Macaca mulatta: one gene and its partners. The protein of the gene in region 3 purifies or fractionates together with the protein of the main gene of each other region. This does not show direct contact. Links are inferred from orthologs where the notes say so. Each region holds a gene or a part of one and is shown on either strand. Other genes may lie near its edges. The genes, in order: LRRK2, ARL2 and TUBB.

Region 1 (2,808 bases), on a different chromosome or scaffold from region 3:
AAAGGATACTGTATTCCAAACAGTGCAATGACATGAATGATAGTAACATATTATGTGTTTTATAAATTTGTAGAAAATATTACATATGGTATAATCAGGAATTTTAATTGGTAGTTTATAGTATAAAGAACTTAGGCATAAACTTTCAAAATTACAAGTGATATGAAGTGTTAAATATTTATATTTTCAGATGAAGTAGAGGTGTCAATCACTAGCTCAACCTTAAACTAAATGTGAATATTTTTTACAACTTACCTGTATCTACATAATGTTTAATTTTCAACAGTGTTTGAAAAGCTTTATTTCTTTTAGATTATGAAATGTTAATTTATTAAATGTCCACACTCTTCTTGAAATTTAGTAGTTTCTATAATGTATTATAAAAATTGTCCAAGTACAGTTTTTTATAAATAATTATTTAGTGCATTAGTTATAGCTGTGTTTATATATACATTTATCTAAGTCAACTAAAAATACATAAGCCAAACTGAAATAAAATAAGAATGTTTTATGGTGGATCTTTGAAACTTGATTTCATCTTTTTCTTTTTCTAGAGATACAATCTTGCTTGACTGTTTGGGACATCAATCTTCCACATGAAGTGCAAAATTTAGAAAAACACATTGAAGTGAGAAAAGAATTAGCTGAAAAAATGAGAGGAACATCTATTGAATAAGAGAGAAACAGGAATTGTCTTTGGATAGGAAAATTATTCTCTTGTAAATATTTATTTAAAAATGTTCACATGAAAAGGGTACTCACATTTTTTGAAATAGCTCATGTGTATATGAAGGAATGTTATATTTTTAATTTAAATATATGTAAAAATACTTACCAGTAAACATATATTTTAAAGAACTATTTAAAACACAATGTTGTATTTCTTATGAATACCAGTTACTTTTGTGCATTAATTAATGAAAATAAATCTGTGAAATACCTAATTTAAGTACTCATACTAAAATTTATAAGGCCGATAATTTTTTGTTTTCTTGTCTGTAATGAAGATAAACTTTATTTTAAATTCTATGCTTAAGACAAGACTATTGCTTGTTGATTTTTCTAGAAATCTGCAAGGTAGAATGAAAATATTAAGACAGTTTCCCGTGTAATGTATTCCCTCTTAGATTGCTTTGAAATGCACTATCATATATGCTTGCAAATATTCAAATGAATTTGCACTAATAAATTCCTTTGTTGGTATGTGAATTCTCTTTGTTGCTGTTGCAGACAGTGCATGTTACACAACTTCACTCAATCCAAAAGAAAACTCCATTAAAAGTACTAATGAAAAAACATGACATACTGTCAAAGTCCTCATATCTAGGATATGAGGAGAGTTTCTGTGTCTTTCTGTGTCTTTCCTAGACATGATAGAGTTGTCTCTATCTTTTCAACTCTATCTTTGAGTATGGATACCCTGAATTTTGTATAATTAGTGTAAATACAGTGTTCAGTCCTTCAAGTGATATTTTTATTTTTTTATTCATACCATTAGCTACTTGTTTTCTAATCTGCTTCATCCTAATGCTTATATTCATCTTTTCCCTAAATTTGTGATGCTGCAGATCCTACATCATTCAGATAGAAACTTTTTTTTTTCAGAATTATAGAATTCCACAGCTCCTACCAAGACCATGAGGACAAATATCTAACACTTTTCAGTTGCTGAAGGAGAAAAGAGCTTTAGTTATGATGGATAAAAATATCTGCCACCCTAGGCTTCCAAATTATACTTAAATTGTTTACATAGCTTACCACAGTAGGAGTATCAGGGCCAAATACCTATGTAATAATTTGAGGTCATTTCTGCTTTAGGAAAAGTACTTTTGGTAAATTCTTTGGCCCTGACCAGTATTCATTATTTCAGACAATTCCCTGTGATAGGACAACTAGTCTATTTAATATTCTCAGAACTTATGGCATTTGACTATATGAAAACTTTAAATTTATTTATATTCAGGGTGATCAAATTCTTAAACATGAAAGATTTTCTGTATTTTAACTTGCTACGTAATTAACGACAACAAAAAAAAATACAGTAGAGCTCTTTGTTCCAGTGTTATCTCTTTCATTGTCACTTTGTATGTATTTGCAAATTTTTTTACCAAAGACAAACACAAAAATAGAATACTGTATTTACATGGAATAATAAAATTTTTAAAAGCATGTTTATGAATTTTTAAACTTTGTGATAGTGTTTTGCTTTTCACATACAGGTCTGTTATCCACCTCAAAGGAAACTTTGTATATTAATTTGTATATGGAACATTCCACGATAAGAAAGTGCAACTAAAGTTTTTTCTTGAGAACTTACAGAATATTTAAATTTACTTTTCTATAATACGTATGGTTGCCAGGATCCCAGGACAAAATCTGATGGGTATGAAACATTCTATTTTCAAGTTCTCTTAAAAATGTTTTGTGAGTAAATTTGTTTGCTCTTGAGTACTGAAACAAAATATAAGACTTTAGAGCAAATGATATATACAAAAAATAGGCACAGTCACTTCAAGTGTTTTCTGATTAGAAGCCTAAAATAACCTGCTAATTATGATCAAAATACAAACATTATCATAACAGAAAATATTCTTTTGGGAAAATTTTGAATTCAAAAAAGGGCGCCTCTCTGACTCTAATTCACTCTATCGATTATGTGTGAACTATTTTAACTAAAATGCAACTTATTTTTCATCAAGGCAGTGAAATATATTGATGAAACATAGCAGAATTAACAAAAGAAGATTGTGAACTTTCCTAAGTTAAATGTAAGGATGCAAATGTTCTAATATTGAGGGGAGATAAAAT
Region 2 (2,393 bases), on a different chromosome or scaffold from region 3:
AAGGGCTGTGTGAACCCAGAAGCGGGAGAGATCACATTCTCTGTGCACGTCTGGTCATCAGATTGGAGCAGTCTAGAACCACAGAGAGCTCAGGGATCATCTTATCCAGCACCCCTCCCTGTTTATGGAAGAGGAAGCTGAAGCATGGGGGACAGCGGTGTCCCCTGTGGTGGTTGACTGGAACCAGAACCCTGGCCCAGAACTGCCATCGCCCATGTGGTCCAGCCTTGATGGCTATGTCCACAAACTCACTCCTGGGCCTCTCCCACCACCACAGGGCCTCACCTTGATCTTCCAGGTCGATCCTTCACCCCAGATGCTCTGGGCCGTTAGAGGAGGGGTCAGGCTGTCCTCTGAGTCCCCACCCCACCCCTCTGTCTTCTCTTCCCCAGCGCCTGGCCGGAGCCACCCTCCTCATCTTTGCCAACAAGCAGGACCTGCCTGGAGCACTGTCCTCTAACGCCATCCGCGAGGTGAGTCCAGGCCCTGGGACAGGCCCACTGAGAGAAAGGGGCTCACTTTTTTTATTTTAAAAGCATTTATTAAAAATAACCAAAAAAAGTAATAATAAAAGCATTTATTAGCCCCTGCTAGGTGGCAGGACCTATGCAGGGCACTGGGGATCCAGTGATTAATAAGGCATGGGGTGGCCCACAGCCTGGGGAAGACAGAACTGCACATGTGTTGTTCACAGGCTAACAGTAGCCAGCACAAACAGAGTGCTTTCAGTATGCTCTGCTCCTTGCATGGATTAACTCATTTCATTCTCACAACAACCTCATGAGGTAAGAACTATTATTTTACACATGGTGAAGCAGGCTCAGAGAGATTAGGTAACTTGTCCCAGGTCACACAGCCACTAAATAGACCAGAAGCCTGTCTGACCCCAGAGCCCACATTTTAACCATGATTCTAGTGCTCAAGCACCACAGTGAGAAAGAGCAGCGTTAAAATCTTGGCTGTGCCACTTATGAGCTATGTGCCCTTAGGCAGGTTGCTTAACCTCTCTGAACTTTGGTTTCCTCCTTGGTGAAATGGCTGACACAATCCCTGGCTCATGAGGACTTGAGGAGAATGAGAGAGGATGTGTGGGGCTCCTGGCATGATGCCCAGATCCTGGTGGATGCTCAAGAGCCCGTGTTGCATTTACATCACTAAGGGGCGGCACTGGTGTGGTACTGGACAGAGAGCCCAGGTGCCCCTGGGGGCTGACAAAGTCTCTCAGGGACCAGCGGGGCTTCCTGGATGGGATGACCTGGAACAGGGCCTTGAGGGAGGCATGGAGCTCCTCTGGGCTGGGGAGGGAAGGGGCTGAGGGAAGGCAGGGTCTGCAGTCACTGACCACCACCATCAGCACCTTTGTTCTTCCAGGCCCTGGAGCTGGACTCCATCCGCAGCCACCACTGGTGCATCCAGGGCTGCAGCGCCGTCACCGGGGAGAACCTGCTGCCAGGCATCGACTGGCTCCTGGATGACATTTCCAGCCGCATCTTCACAGCTGACTGAGCCACTCCAGATGTCCCTCCACCTAGCAGTCCAGGTCCCCCAACCCTCACCAAACACTATCCATGGGGGCATGGGAGTCAGCCAGCCAAACTAACACTCCCCCTCCTCCACCCCAACCTGCTGCTGCTACTGCTGCCCGCTGCTGCTCTGTGGCCACCCAGCTCCTGTGGCGGGAGGGCTGTGCCCTGGCTGTTTCCCTGGCTCCTGGCCTGGCCTTTGGCTACCATACCAAGAAAAGAGGACTGGGCGGGGAGGAGCTGCTACTGCTGCTACCGAGGCTGTGGGCCTCATCCTTCACTCAGCTGTGAAATAAACCACTCCTTGCCCTGATTCCTGGCTGAGTCATTTGTTGATTCAACAGCGTTAGAGACCACCTGGGACCCACAATCCAGCAGGGGACAGAAAGGAACAGACCATTGCAGTCAATGGTGAGCTGCGGCTATGTCAAAGGGATGCAAAAAAAGTTATAGAAGCATGGGACACGGTGCAACTGATTCCATCCAGAGGAGTCCAGGCAGGCTTCCTAGAGGAGGTCATGTTAAAACTGGGAATAAAATGTGAGTAGTTTTCCAGGTAGAGAAAGGGGAAGACGGTTCACCAGGGGAACTCCAACTCTCATAGGTATGAATTAGAAAAAGGGACACAGCTCCAGACCAGGGCTCCAACTTTTTGAATGGAACATGGGCTGAAATTCAGCTCCCAATTCTCTGTTGTAGCCAGGACCCCATGTGCAGTGGACAACCTGAATAGCTGTATGAGGCCAGCAGAGGTTCAGGCAGAGGGGATCACAGGACAGGCATGAAGAGCAAAGGCTCTTGGGAAATGGGGAGGGGCATAGAGTCATGTGTGGGAGGGAGTGCAGCCAGAGGGCGGGAGGGGGCCACATC
Region 3 (4,300 bases):
TCTTCTTTCTCCTTCACTGTGATGTATTCTCCCCCCACTGCCCCATAATGTACCAGCAACAGCAGGCACTACCTCTACCCTACCTCTACCCTCCATTAGATTTCAGAATACAGTTCTTAGCACTCCAGTACAACAATCATCTCCTAACTTTTGCTGTGTCCTTGCACCCAAATAAGTTGAACACGATAGTATATCATCTGCTAATATCATCTGTATAACTTACCAAATACAAAGTTGTCTGGTCTAAAGATCTGGCCAAAAGGACCTGAGCGAACAGAGTCCATGGTCCCAGGTTCTAGATCCACCAGGATGGCACGAGGAACATATTTGCCACCTACAAAGAATAAAGTTAAGAGCTGTGAGATCTGGCAGAGGGAAAGGTTTATAGATACACTGGGAATGGAAGACAGCAGGGACCCAAGACTTGTTCCAGGTCCTGCCACCAGGTGGCAGCAGACGTCTTTGGCCCCGACGGTGGTTCACAAAAGGGAGAAAATGATAGATTCACCGAAAGGGGATAAGGCGTGCCAGGAATGGAAAGAGACCCCAGAGAAGTGGGAGACAGGGAAGGGGAACCTGAGCTGCCCGGGCTCTTGCCCTTACCTGTGGCTTCATTGTAGTACACGGAGATGCGGTCCAGCTGCAGGTCGCTGTCCCCGTGGTAGGTGCCGGTGGGGTCGATGCCATGTTCATCACTGATCACCTCCCAGAACTGCCGGGCAGGAGCAACGAGACCACAAGTCAAGTCCCAGTCAACTACGTCCCCAACTACCATTTTATTTCATCTTTTTCTTAACTTTTTTCTTTTTTTTTTTTGAGACGGAGTCTCGCTCTGTCGCCAGGCTGGAGTGCAATGGCGCTATCTCGGCTCACTGCAACCTCTGCTTCCCGGGTTCAAGCGATTCTCCTGCCTCAGCCTCCGGAGTAGCTGGGACTACAGGCGCGCGCCACCACGCCCAGCTAATTTTTTGTATTTTTAGTAGAGACGGGTTTCACCATGTTGACCAGGATGGTCTAGATCTCTTGATCCGCCCACCTCGGCCTCCTAAAGTGCTGGGATTACAGGCGTGAGCCACCGCGCCCAGCTTCTTTTAATTTTTAAGACAGGGTCTTCCTCTGTTGCCCAGCCTGCAGTGCAGTGGTGCAATCACGGATCACTACAGCCTGAAACTCCCAGGCTCAACCGATCCTCCCATCTCAGCCTCTCGAATAGCTGGGACCACAGACGCGCGCCACCACACCCAGTTAATTTTTTTTTTTTTTTTTTTGAAGAGATGTGGCCGGGGGGAGGGGTCTCGCTTTGTTGCCCAGGATGGTCTCAAACCCCTGAGCGGGAGCGATCCCAATTAGCCCGCCTCAGCCCCACATCTCCCATTTTAATCCCACACGCGCTCAGGCCGTTGTTCTAGGGCCTGGCATCCCGTGTGCCTGCCACACCCTTCCCCTAGACACTCGCTCCCCCGGGAAAGCCACAGCTTTCCCGGCTCGGGATTATGTGCAGCGGGTCCCAAGTGCTCGGTGGGCGGATGGAGGTCGACCATACTTGGATAAGCGCCGCTGTTCTTCCCCCGAGCTGGGCACCGCCCCACCGCGCGGCGCACAAAAGGCTCGGGGCACTAGAAGAGCTGCTGCCGCAGTCGACCACCCCCCACCCTCCACGTGACTGCGGCGCACGCGCAGGTCGAGCCGCCGACAAAGGACTTCGCACGTGGGCGGGGCCAGGGGCAAGAATTCCGCGCGAGGGGCGGGGCCCAGGGTAGCGCGCCCCTCCCGGCGGGCAACGCCGCATTGTCCCCGCGCGCCAGCGGCGCCCTGGCCCCGCCCCGCAGGGCCCCGCCCTTCTGCTACAACGTAGCACCCGCACTTCCTCCCGCCCCTCCCCCGCTACACTGTAACCGCGCGCAAAAAAAAAAAAAAAAAAAACCCTTGGCCTCGGAATTTTATTCCTTTGCTAGATTTCTCCCCCTTGATTTAAAGCATTCTTTCTCTCCCATTAAGTCCTGAAGGACTCGTTAAAGAAAACCACACACCCCCATTTTCTCGACATATCAGTTCACGCCCTAAAGAGGTCTCGCTTAGGTGCCATGAAAGCAAGAAAAATTAATCCCGTTCTTATTCTCCTTCCACCCCGGAACAACTACAGGACCGGCCCTCCGGGGTCGCGGGCGCGCTGGGGTCCCTGATCTTTTGTGAATGGTAGCGCCCAGCGCAGCCCACCCTGGCGCATCGCCCCCCGACCTTTGCACTGGAGCTCTCTGCAGCCGCCCGACAGCCTCACCCCTTCCCGCTCCCGTTTGGCCCTAAGAACCCCGCAGGGGGGGCTGGGCGGGATGCACATGGGCAAAACCTCGCCCCGCTTTGTCTCCGACTGTTTCCGCATCTCTCTCCCTGCCCGGTTCTTGGACCGTTAGAAGCCCTTTTAAGTAACATATGTCCTTGGTCTTCCCGCCCCCGAAACCCGAAGAGCCCTTTTACTAGTTTCTCCAAAATGTGCCTGCCAAGAAAAATGATTCCCAGTTTTCCAAAAGCAAATGCTAGTTATTATATATATAAATGTAACAAACTTGGGAGGGGCAAAGCTTGATTAAGAATGGAGAGTGCAAATGCCCCACAACCATTTTTTCATAACTTACCTGGATTTTTCCTTCTAAAAAGAAATAAAAGAGGTGTAAAATTCTTACCTTGGCACCGATCTGGTTGCCACACTGACCGGCCTGGATGTGCACGATTTCCCTCATGGTTAAAATTAATTTTTTTTGCTCGCCTCAAGGTATGTATGGGGCAAGAAAATAAGTAATTTTTTTTCTCTGCAGGTCGCAGGCTGGAAGGTTGGAACGCGCCCCAGACGCTGGAGCAGCGAGGTGCGAACGCGGCGGCAGGAAGGTTCTGAGAGGGAGAAAGGAGAGGGGAGGGCGCGGAGGGAAGGCAGGCTGGGCGGGGCGCGCGTGCGCCGGGGCTGGGAGGCGGGAGAATCGGCCCCGCGCGCGGTCGGGAGACAAAGCCTCATCGAGCCTGGCCCTGATTAGTCGATGCCGGTCATGTACCAGGCGTCCATTGGCCTCTGAGCCAGTGGACGAGCGCAGTCCTCTTTGGGAGTTGTAGTCCCCTATTGTTGTTCACGGTGCAAAATGAAGTGACGAATGGGTGGGTACCGGTTTGGTTTTTGTTGGGTTTTTGTTTTGTAAATGAAAAACGACCTTGCGCAAGATTCCTTTCCTCTGTGCCTGAGGTTTTTGTACAAAAAGTGAGCAGTTCTCGGGGATGCAGGGATTGAGAAGTCTGGGGTTCCAGAAGTTGGGTGGTGAGGTACGCCCTAAAAGCTCCCAGCTGCAGTACCTCTAGGGAAGACAGAATTGCTTAGCTCAGCGAAAAATGGGGAGGAGTGTGGCACCGTGCTCTGCTACCTCTGGCCTTTGGTGACCCAAGTCATGAACTTAAGTAAGCTTCTGCTCTCTCAAATACTTCAAGAAGGGAATCGCCCTCTTGCTATTTCCTTGGAAATTTTCGAGTCATTGTTTTGAAAGAGAAACAAAATTGCAGCAAGGGCTTTTCAGGATAGAGATGTTGTCTGGAGAGTATGTTCAAAGAATAAAATAGTTTAGAGAAACCGACATCGGGGATTTGTGAAACTAGAAGTCTCCATCCACGTAGGAGATCTGGGCCTTAGGGCAGACTTTGAAGACACCTTGATCTTCTTGTCAAACAGGGAACTATGGAATGAGATGCCTGATAGATTTTCAGTTTTTTCAGCCTACCTTTTTAGACATGTTAATGAAGTCAGTGGTTTTTCAATTCGCTTATTTCACTGACCAGGTGGCCGCCATTGCAACTCTGCAAGATACCCAGTATTGAAAAAGGAGAGAGGGGAAATTGATGGGGGAAAATTGGATGGGCTCAAGACAGAGTCCACCAGCTTCTTCCCAGAGATTTATTCACTTATTTGATAGTTACTATGTATCCACCAAATTAGGAACTATGGTTACAAAATGATTAATAATTAGTTCCCTGTCCTCCAGGATGTTGCAGTCTGGCCACTCAGAAATGTAGTATCAAGTCAACATCATTGTTCATTCACATTCGATTACACACAGATCTATATATCTATATATATATATCTATATCTATCTATATATATATATATATTGTATTTTTGGTACAGACAGGGTTTCGCCATGTTAGCCAGGATGGCCTCAATCCCCTGACCTCGTGATTCGCCCGTCTTAGCCTCCCAAAGAGCTGGAATTACAGGCGTGAGCCACCGCGGCGGGCAGATCAATGTATTTCTAAGTTGCCTTCTAAA

What was found.
Region 1: the proteins of TUBB (region 3) and LRRK2 purify together in Homo sapiens (co-immunoprecipitation; 5 studies listed by BioGRID and IntAct, with this or other methods). This does not show direct contact. The link is inferred for Macaca mulatta from reciprocal best matches to the Homo sapiens genes TUBB and LRRK2.
Region 2: the proteins of TUBB (region 3) and ARL2 purify together in Homo sapiens (co-immunoprecipitation; 3 studies listed by BioGRID and IntAct, counting the BioPlex papers as one, with this or other methods). This does not show direct contact. The link is inferred for Macaca mulatta from reciprocal best matches to the Homo sapiens genes TUBB and ARL2.

The regions. Positions count from the first base shown.
Region 1 is NC_133416.1:47,247,323-47,250,130, forward strand, and holds the end of LRRK2 (leucine-rich repeat serine/threonine-protein kinase 2), read left to right. Parts: intron 1-554; coding exon 555-676; 3' UTR 677-2,187; downstream 2,188-2,808. UniProt on the Homo sapiens protein: Serine/threonine-protein kinase which phosphorylates a broad range of proteins involved in multiple processes such as neuronal plasticity, innate immunity, autophagy, and vesicle trafficking.
Region 2 is NC_133419.1:9,364,155-9,366,547, reverse strand, and holds the end of ARL2 (ADP-ribosylation factor-like protein 2), read left to right. Parts: intron 1-345; coding exon of another isoform or gene 346-358; coding exon 359-473; intron 474-694; coding exon of another isoform or gene 695-784; exon of another isoform or gene 785-785; intron 786-1,371; coding exon 1,372-1,506; 3' UTR 1,507-1,836; downstream 1,837-2,393. UniProt on the Homo sapiens protein: Small GTP-binding protein which cycles between an inactive GDP-bound and an active GTP-bound form, and the rate of cycling is regulated by guanine nucleotide exchange factors (GEF) and GTPase-activating proteins (GAP).
Region 3 is NC_133409.1:152,322,532-152,326,831, forward strand, and holds the start of TUBB (tubulin beta chain), read right to left. Parts: upstream 2,813-4,300; 5' UTR 2,739-2,812; coding exon 2,682-2,738; intron 1,640-2,681; exon of another isoform or gene 1,356-1,639; intron 713-1,355; coding exon 604-712; intron 335-603; coding exon 224-334; intron 1-223. UniProt on the Homo sapiens protein: Tubulin is the major constituent of microtubules, a cylinder consisting of laterally associated linear protofilaments composed of alpha- and beta-tubulin heterodimers.